Ovis aries: one gene and its partners. The main gene of each other region encodes a partner of the protein of the gene in region 3 in a complex. Links are inferred from orthologs where the notes say so. Each region holds a gene or a part of one and is shown on either strand. Other genes may lie near its edges.

What was found.
Region 1: EPC1 (region 3) and MORF4L2 share a complex: the UniProt entries of both Homo sapiens proteins name them as parts of the nuA4 histone acetyltransferase complex. The link is inferred for Ovis aries from reciprocal best matches to the Homo sapiens genes EPC1 and MORF4L2.
Region 2: EPC1 (region 3) and KAT5 share a complex: the UniProt entries of both Homo sapiens proteins name them as parts of the nuA4 histone acetyltransferase complex. The link is inferred for Ovis aries from reciprocal best matches to the Homo sapiens genes EPC1 and KAT5.

What each region holds. Positions count from the first base shown.
Region 1 is NC_056080.1:129,260,899-129,263,646, forward strand, and holds the end of MORF4L2 (mortality factor 4-like protein 2), read right to left. Parts: intron 2,190-2,748; 5' UTR 2,166-2,189; coding exon 1,302-2,165; 3' UTR 642-1,301; downstream 1-641. UniProt on the Homo sapiens protein: Component of the NuA4 histone acetyltransferase complex which is involved in transcriptional activation of select genes principally by acetylation of nucleosomal histone H4 and H2A.
Region 2 is NC_056074.1:40,324,862-40,327,545, forward strand, and holds the end of KAT5 (histone acetyltransferase KAT5), read left to right. Parts: intron 1-1,026; coding exon 1,027-1,186; intron 1,187-1,317; coding exon 1,318-1,399; intron 1,400-1,491; coding exon 1,492-1,626; 3' UTR 1,627-2,043; downstream 2,044-2,684. Other genes in the region: RNASEH2C (ribonuclease H2 subunit C), read right to left, coding at 2,403-2,609. UniProt on the Homo sapiens protein: Catalytic subunit of the NuA4 histone acetyltransferase complex, a multiprotein complex involved in transcriptional activation of select genes principally by acetylation of nucleosomal histones H2A and H4.
Region 3 is NC_056066.1:32,594,050-32,597,705, forward strand, and holds part of EPC1 (enhancer of polycomb homolog 1), read left to right. Parts: intron 1-446; coding exon 447-588; intron 589-693; coding exon 694-1,057; intron 1,058-3,050; coding exon 3,051-3,123; 3' UTR 3,124-3,656. UniProt on the Homo sapiens protein: Component of the NuA4 histone acetyltransferase (HAT) complex, a multiprotein complex involved in transcriptional activation of select genes principally by acetylation of nucleosomal histones H4 and H2A.

The DNA of each region.
Region 1 (2,748 bases), on a different chromosome or scaffold from region 3:
TTAGTGTATTTTCCAAAGTTTCTGTGGTAACCATAGAATACTTTTTTCACTAAAGTAGTAACAGTGTTGTGAAGCAAAACTTCGTTTGACTAGGGGATTTTCACAGAAGACAGATTTATCGTCACAGGTGTCCAACACTGTCCCTCTTCTCCACAGACTCCCTAACTCTAGGATTCCCAATCTTATGTCCAAGGGTTTATTGAAGCATTGGGAACATGGCATTAATGCTGGAGCTGGAAAAGCTGCCATCCTTGTTCCCAAATCTACAAGTATGTCTAATACTGGAGGTGGCTGCCCATGCTTCCTCTGGTGGGAAACAGCAATGCTCTCCCTAACTTTAAAGGAGTGTTGCAGCACCCATTAAATATCCTATTATACTAGCCCAACTCATAGAGACAAGGGGCCTCAGGAACAAAAGTGGCTCTTATAAGCATCAGTAGAAAGCAATCCCACCCTGAGCAGCCACACAGAGGGGAGAGAAGAGAAGCTGACCTGGCAGGGTGCATCCCAGCTGCTACACCCAACAATAAAAGGAATTCTTTCACTAAGAGTCGGAACTCTCTCCTTTAGTACCATCTAGGTCTTTCCTGAGCCTGCTGATTTCTCAGGCTCAGTAACATTAAAGACACACTGCAAATTGCTTGCTTTGAAATTTAGAAACAAATTTTATTTAAGATCTGAAATACGATTCCTAAAATATCAACTTCTCCGGAAAACCATGGCTACACAATAATGCATTGCCTCTATCATGTTAGAACGTGCATTAGACTCAAATACAAAAACCATGAAACAAACCACCATCCTTCAACAACTTGAGCAAAGATAGAATGAATGCCTAAGGAACAACATAGATGGACTTGCAGAGGATGGGCTGTTTTACTTCAAGCACCATAAAAAAAAAAAAGCACAATTGCATGGGTTTTCGGGTATATACATTAAGTTGAACCTTTGGCACTAGGAATCAGGGCATTTTTCACGTAGCATTAACACATATTAGAAAATTGTGTAGTGTCAAAGGGATAGAACCACCAGCATTCAAGCAATGTTGTCAACTAGGCAATAAAATGTTCTACTGAATGTTTCTTCTTTGTCTAATTACTGCATACACTGGTAGCAACTTTGAAATGAGAAAAGGAGCTTACACTCCTTTTATTTTCTGTTTAGGAGAAAACAGAAAACTGAAACATAAGCCCTGTTATACATTAACGATTTTAAAGAGTATCAATTATACAAGAAAAAAGACTAAGAACAAAAAGAGCGTTTACAGATACCAGACGTAACAGCGAGTGGTCAGTAGACCCTCACAGGGCTTTGCGGTGGTACTCAGCAGAAGCCACTTTATAATCGCTGGCAGTGAACAGAGACGCAGCATTTTTTGCCAGGTATTTCAGGAAATCATGCAAATAGCCCAACAATAATGCAAGGCTCTTCTCATCAAGGGGCGTGTATGCCAACATTGCCCCAATTCTTACAAATAATCTCAGGAGGTGTGGTGCCCCATAAACCTGGGACATTGGTGCATCAGGGTGAGCCAAGAGAATTTCGGCATACTGGGGCCTCTCAAATTTGTAGAGCAGCTGGGTGCCCAACATCACGTTGAAATACTCTTTTATCCCTCCCACCACCTCATTAACTGCATACTCCTTGTTGTCAACATTGCCTTGTGATCTTTTGCAGTTGGCGTATTCTTCCAAAATAGTATCCACGTTTTTCTTGGCTGGGAGTTGGAAAAGTTGCTTCTGCCTGGTGACTAAGTCCCAGTCCTCAACAAGCCATGGTTTTAATTCTTCAGGAATCTTCACCTTAACTTCCATTCTATTCTTAAAAGCATCCTCACTTTCAACTGTGGGGTCTGCCCGGGCCCTTTTCTTCCGAGGTGGCTGGGGTGCTTCGCTGGTGCTGCCACCATCTCCATTCCCAGGGGTCTTCTGTTTGTTCCTTCTGGTCTTCCTCACCGACCCCGATGGGGGATTCTCAGCAGAGCGACCCCCCCATCTGCCTGGGAGTGCTGCTTCCAGATTCTTCTGCTGGGGACCAGCTGTCTTCTTTCCAGAGGACCCTCTCATTTTACTTCTTTGCATATTGCTTCTAGTTGGTTTTTTGAAATTGTCTTCTTCGGCAGATTGGTGTCCACGGGTTTGAGAACCCTGCTTTCTGGAACTCATTCAACCCTGTTTTTATTCCAACCACTGTAATATATAAAACATTTTATTTGGTTGTTTTCTATGGAGACCTTGAACACAGTGTGCTTCCTAAAGGCCTATTAAAGCACAACACACACTACTCTCTTGAAATCTGGATTTCAGATCCTATTTCAGGGCCAACCAATTAATTGTTAGTGACTTACTACCTCTTTGCTCACTCTTTGATCCTCACTACCCCTCACCCACTACTCTCAGCCTACCCAGTCACTCATCAGACCTGCCCATAAATTAGTTTTTTGATGTTACTCAAACGACAAGAATATAATTTCAGAGAAAGAATGAATTAAACTACAAAAGGCAGTGGAGGTGAAATTCAGGATTTCTGAAGAGGAAAAATGACAAGACAGAAGAAACAAGAAAGATTAATTTAGCTGCCTGGAAGCAAAATGCGTACCAGCAAAGGTTTTTGTGTAAGTCCAGGTAGGCCTGAACTAGGCTGATGACAGAGTCAAGAGAAAGTGAACAGAGAACTTGGTAAATGAAGGAGAGAGAGGAATCACAGGTGGCCCTACAATTTCAGGTCTGGGTAATTAATGAATTAGTA
Region 2 (2,684 bases), on a different chromosome or scaffold from region 3:
CAGGCAGCTCCTGGGGGCAGGGGGTATTCACTGGGAGGGGCCAGGAGTCCCTGCCACTAAGGAGGCAAGCGTGGCCTCCAGTTGATTGGTCAGGACTCTGCACGCACACCTGCCCAGCAAAGCTGAGTGAGAACTCCAGTGTGCCCCTTCTCTCTTCCCTGCTTCCTGCCTCCAAAGCAGAGGCCTCTCTGTCCTCCCCACCAGGCTTTTTGGTGGAAGTCACAGGAGGTTGGGCAAGAGGGTCAGACTGGCTAATAAAGACGTATCAAGGGGAAAGCAGAAAGGCTACGCTCCAACACAAGGCTCGTGATGACTGAGGGTGAAGAAGGGCTTCTAGAAATAGTGGAGACATCTCAGGGCCCTGATGGGAAAAATGACTCTGTCCAACAGATGTGAAACTGCTCAGGGTTTTGCAGGGCTTGAGGGTCTCACCAGGAACTGCCTGCTCAGTGGTCACCCGCGTAGGAGGGCAGAGCAGTAGAATTGGGAGGGAGAGCGCCCTGGCAAAGGCAGTTACTGCTGAGGAATGGCCTCCTCTGACTGGGAAGTGCTTTGGCATCACTCCCCTTAATTCCTCCCAGCCACCCAGCCTGGTCTTAGAGCCGCTGATGGTTCTCTGTTCACAGCTGGGGGACTGTTATGACTGAGAATCTGAGCATCCTCAGGCCTGGACCAGAGGTGGGGCCTGGCCCACTTTTCTCCTCACATACCCAGTGTGGTAGGACCGAGGAAAACTGGAGGCACTTTCTTTCCACAAGCCATTCTCTGCACTTCCCCGTCCCACCTGTAAGCCCTTGCTGGCTCCTGGTTGACTGTAGCTTCAGCACACAGCTGAAGAGTAGGCGTGCTAGTCCTTTAGAGCAAACTAAGGCACTGAACAGACAAGCCACATACCCAGACCACAGAACCACCACGTGGCAGGCCCAAGACGGGGCCATGCAGTCTGCCCGATCGCCTGCGTTCTTAAGACACTAGTGGCATAATACTGTGATCGTTTATCCACCTCCTCCTGCTCCATTGCTTTAGGCTATGAACTCTCCAAAGTGGAAGGGAAAACGGGGACCCCTGAGAAGCCCCTCTCGGACCTTGGCCTCCTGTCCTACCGAAGCTACTGGTCCCAGACCATCCTGGAGATCTTGATGGGGTTGAAGTCAGAGAGCGGGGAGAGGCCACAGATCACCATCAAGTGAGCCTGGCCCTGCCTACCCCGGGGTGCATGGCATGACCTTCTGTTCCCGGGCTTTCTCAATCCTTGGGCTACTGGGGCCTGGGCAGAGATGGAGGCCCCCAGGGGACCTGATCTTTGCCCTCCCACAGTGAGATCAGTGAAATCACCAGCATCAAGAAGGAGGATGTCATATCCACTCTACAGTACCTCAACCTCATCAACTACTACAAGGTAGGGAGGCAGGCAGGGGGAGACAGGTGTGTGCAGGGATCCCGAGTACAGGCCCGCCTGAGCTGACCTGCCTGGCCCCATCTCCCGTCCAGGGCCAGTATATCCTCACCCTGTCGGAGGACATCGTGGATGGGCACGAACGGGCTATGCTCAAACGGCTTCTTCGGATCGACTCCAAGTGTCTGCACTTCACTCCCAAGGACTGGAGCAAGAGGGGAAAGTGGTGACCGGACGCTGCCCGGGGAATGCCAGCAAAGGCAGCAGAACTGAAGCTGGCAGCCATCTCGCCCCCAGCAGGGTCTCCAAGAGGCACACCAAGGGAGACAGGGCTGAGGACCACTCCAAAAGGAGAGGACGGGCCTGGTCAAGGCTAGCTGGTGCCCAGCACCAAGGCGAGCTCAGGGCTCATGGCAACTCCACGGTCAGCTGGCTGCAGGCCCAGGCCTGCTGTGAACCAGGGACCAGAGGGAGCCAGGCAGCTGTGTATATAGTAAGAGGGGTGGGTGGGGTGCCTTGTACAGAGGACTGACGGCTGTACAAATTTCTTTTGTAAAGTAGGAGCTGGGGTGTGGTGGGTACTGGTTGCAAAATTATGGCCTCTTCTGCCCCATTGCCCCCTGGCAATAAATTGTTCCTAGAGGTCAGAGCTATGGAAGGTTCTGTGGGAGAAGGGGCAGTGTTGGCAAACTCACAGGTTCTGTGAAAAGCTCCTTTATTGGGTGAAGGACTCTGGCTTCACACTGGGGTGAGGGGTTCGGTGGCTTTCAATGTCAAGCTCTGGTTCTCAGTCTTCGGGTACCTGTGCGTGAATCTGCAACAGGAATCACCTCTACTATTGGATTTCTGCAGTATAGTGACTGGGTGGCCCAGATATTCAGAATCATAGCCCTTCTAGAAGGCCAGAGAAGAGTGCTGGGGAAGCCATGCTGTCCCTACCCAGTCTAATCCTCCAGTCAGACTGGGTCTCCATCTGCCCCATTGTTCGCCCCAGCCCCAAATTCACTCAGGCTGGGGTGGGGCCGGGGGTGGGGGGGGGTGGGTTCGGTGTTAGATAAAGCCTGGGAGGGAGAGGGCCCATCCATCTACTCACCGCTGCAGCGAGGCTGGGCCAGCTTAGGGCCCCACGCAGTTTGGCATCCGGACCAGGGATAGATTCCAGGCCCCACACGGTGAAGCTGCTGAAGCTGGCTGTGGCTCCCATAAAGCGGTCCTGGGGGCCGGGAAGGGGCCCTGGCTCAGCATCCGGGCTGCGGTTCCCACCCGGGCTCCCTTCCAACCCTATCCC
Region 3 (3,656 bases):
CACCAAAATGTTTTACTAGCATGTTTCTTGTTTAACACTTTGTGTTGGAGGTTTACCATTTCCACATTTTAAAGGTTTATTTTGGTAATTTCATATTATATATTGTCACATAAGATCAAAATCCATAATCCTTGGGACTTCCCTGACAGTCCAGTGGTTAAGACTCCACCTTCCAATGCAGGGAGTGTTGGTTCAATCCCTGGGAACTAAGGTCCAAAATCCGATGTACAGCAAAAAAGAATTTATTTTTTAACGTTATAATCCTCGGGTTACAAGATGACCTCAACATTAATCAGATTTATGACTGTCAAGAAGAAATGAAGATACTTCAGTGGTTTGCCACTTTCGTTTGTATGCGGACTGATTTTGGCATATAGCTGTGTAGCTTAATAGTCGTTGGAAACTAAGTGGTGCTGATTAGCTCTGCTCTGTGTTTTCCTTTGTAGGGTTTTGTGTCCAAGACTTTGGATTCTGCTAGTGCTCAGTTTGCTGCTTCTGCTTTGGTGACATCGGAACAACTGATGGGATTCAAGATGAAGGAGGATGTGGTGCTTGGAATTGGGGTGAACGGCGTCCTTCCAGCCTCAGGTAGGGAGAGAGACGTGTCAGCACGTGATTGTTTTTGTGACCTACGTCAGTGATAAACCCAAAGCAGAGTTGCGGTTGTTGAGCTGCATCTTTCCTTTTCCCTAGGAGTATACAAGGGCTTACACCTCAGTAGTACTGCACCCACAGCACTTGTCCACACGAGTCCGTCGACAGCAGGGCCGGCTTTGCTGCAGCCTGCAAGCGTGACCCAGACTGCGGGTTCCCACAGTGCGCCGGGTCACCCGGCGACCGCTGCCAACTCCGCCACAACTCAGGTTCTGATTGGGAACAACATTCGATTGACTGTACCTTCATCAGTTGCCACTGTAAACTCTATCACCCCTATAAATGCACGACACATACCTAGGACTTTAAGTGCTGTCCCGTCGTCTGCCTTAAAGCTGGCTGCTGCAGCAAACTGTCAAGTTTCCAAGGTCCCGTCGTCATCCTCTGTGGATGCCGTCCCACGGTGAGTAGTTACCGAAGCTCGGAGTGTTGAAAATAAGAGATCTAGCTTAAGTTCTCTGGCACTGCTCTCTACTTATTTCTTTGTGTTTTGTTTTTCCTTTCTGGTTTTCTGGGGAGGTTTTCGTTTGTTCTTGGCCATGCCTTGTGACTTTTGAGATCTTAGTTCCCCGACCAGGAATTGAACCCGAGTCACAGCAGTGAAACCACTGGACTGCCAGAGAATTCCCTATGTTTTTTGCTCTTTTCCTTATATACGTTAAAAATGTATAGATGAGAATTCCTTATTTTTGTAAGAACTAAACAGGTAAATGTTGTAATTACATACTGCTGAGAATTTGAACTAAATGGCATATAGTGAACATAGCATCTATAATTGGGACATCATTTTCTTTGTATAATAAGAGCTTATTAAAAAAAAAAAAAAAAGAGCTTATAGTACTTTCACCTTTTATTCCACCTTTGGATGGAAGGAGTTCTCTGTAGAATGTTTCTTTTGCTCATAATTTCTTCCACAGCTTTTCAAGTGGACAGAATTGATAGAACCCACCATGGCTAGTCACTAAGCTGCTCTGAATACTGTAAGCAATGTAAAGGGTTATAGTATTCATGCCAGGTCAACTTCTAATCAGTTATTTTATACTGTGCCAACTTGTTTTCTTAGGTTTCAATAGATGGTTTAGAATGTTTGCCCAGGCTCTATTCTGTTTTAAATATTAACAATAATTAAAATCTTGCTGTCTACAAAATACTTTGCTGAAAAAATAAGAGAAAGACAAGGAGTTTTCAGTTTAGTTAGAGGACAAGCATAAAAGTGTGAAAAGTTAAATAATAGAATTGTAGGTAATAGGTAAAAATTGTTCTGGCAGTATCACAAAGCATTATATGCTTGTCATTAATTGTATAGATTGTGGCTATAATTTTAATATATATTTTTACACCCAGGGTATTCTGGGAATGTTCTAGAAAATGAGATTTCATCTTGGTTGGGCAAAGAGGAAAAGGAGAAAGGGAGGGAAATACAGATGTGACCGGAGGTTAACAGGTAACTAGTCTGTCTAGAGATTTGGAAAGGTTAGTGGTAGGAGGAGACTGGACTTTGTCTTGAATGCCAGGCTGATCCATAGATGTCCTCAGCTGGGAGTGGCCCCAGGCAGGGGGGCAAGCTTTGTAGCAGCCGACTATAGCTATTAGTTTCTGACCCAAGCATCCTTTCTCCTTTTGAACTTTTAAGTGTGTGCCCAGTTGCTTCAGTCATGTCTGCCTCTTTGCAGCCCCATGGACAGTAGCCCGCCAGCTCCTCTGTCTGTGGAATTTCCCAGACAAGAATACTGGAGAGGGTTGTCATCCCCTTTTCCAGGGGATCTTCCCGACCCAGGGATCAAACCTGCATCTCCTGCATTGCAGGTGGATTCTTTACCACTGAACCACTGGGGATGCCCCTGAGCTTAAGAAGTGGTCGTCATCTGCTGGAGACTCATCCCATTTTCGTTAGTATTCTGGGTGTAGTTAAAGCTAGTCAATAAATGATTGCTTTTACTTAAGAACAGTGGAAGGGCTGGAGTGGCTAAGACCCTGGTCTTCTGATTGCTCAGCTCCACGTGGGGAAAGAACCAGACTTGAAGGCCTGATGTGAATGACCCTCATTCACTTCGCTCCTCTTTAAAATTCTTAGCAAAAGCCTAATCAAGGAGGAAATTGAAACGCTAAAGTGTGGCTATTCTTTATGCGTTTTCCCATCTAGCTTGCTTGGGTGCTGCTCCAGTCTTAACTGCTAATGTAGTTGCTTACGGAATGTGCAGCACAAGCCTAACTTCTGGTCTTGTGCCCCTGATAATAAAGCATCAGGGTTTATAGCCCTCTGCTTGCCGTCCTGTCCCAAAAGAGTCAGATTTCTTTCGGTTATTGAAAACATCTAGACCTTTCATTGGGAAGATCATCTCGATTGATTAAGTTGACTGCAGAGAAGTAATCTATTGCCCTCTTTTCTTCAACAGGGAAAATCATGACTCAGAAAAGCCAGCACTAAACAACATAGCAGACAACACAGTGGCGATGGAGGTGACGTAGCTCCTCAGGAGCGGAGCCGCAGCCTGGGGACTTGACTAGGTGCTATGCATCGGGAGCGTTTCAAATGCAAGGGATGGTGGAATGCAGCACATGCGTTTCTGTGGCAGCTGTGGGGACTCGACAGCAGTGCTCATCTCTCATGCTTCAACTTTTCTTTTCTTACTGTTAATAGGAAAAAAAAATCAACATCTGTAAATTAAGAATACAGCAATTATCTGTACAGTACTGCATATTTGTAATACCCTTGTATATACGTTACTTGAATACAGAAATGTTCATTTGTGATGCTTTGCACTTGGGGGCGGGGGGGTGGGAGGGAAATAAATTGCAACAAAGAGTGTGAGATGTGAGATTGTATCGAGATGAAGTGTCATCACATCATGTGCATGGTGCGGAACCTGCTGTTTTCTCTATTTATTGTGCCGTGTTTACAGTTTTTTGTACACTGTACCTTCATTGGTTCCTGTGCTGTAGTAAATGTGTTAGGTAGCCGTGGACTCCCTGGTATTTTGTAAATGGTATAACATAACTTG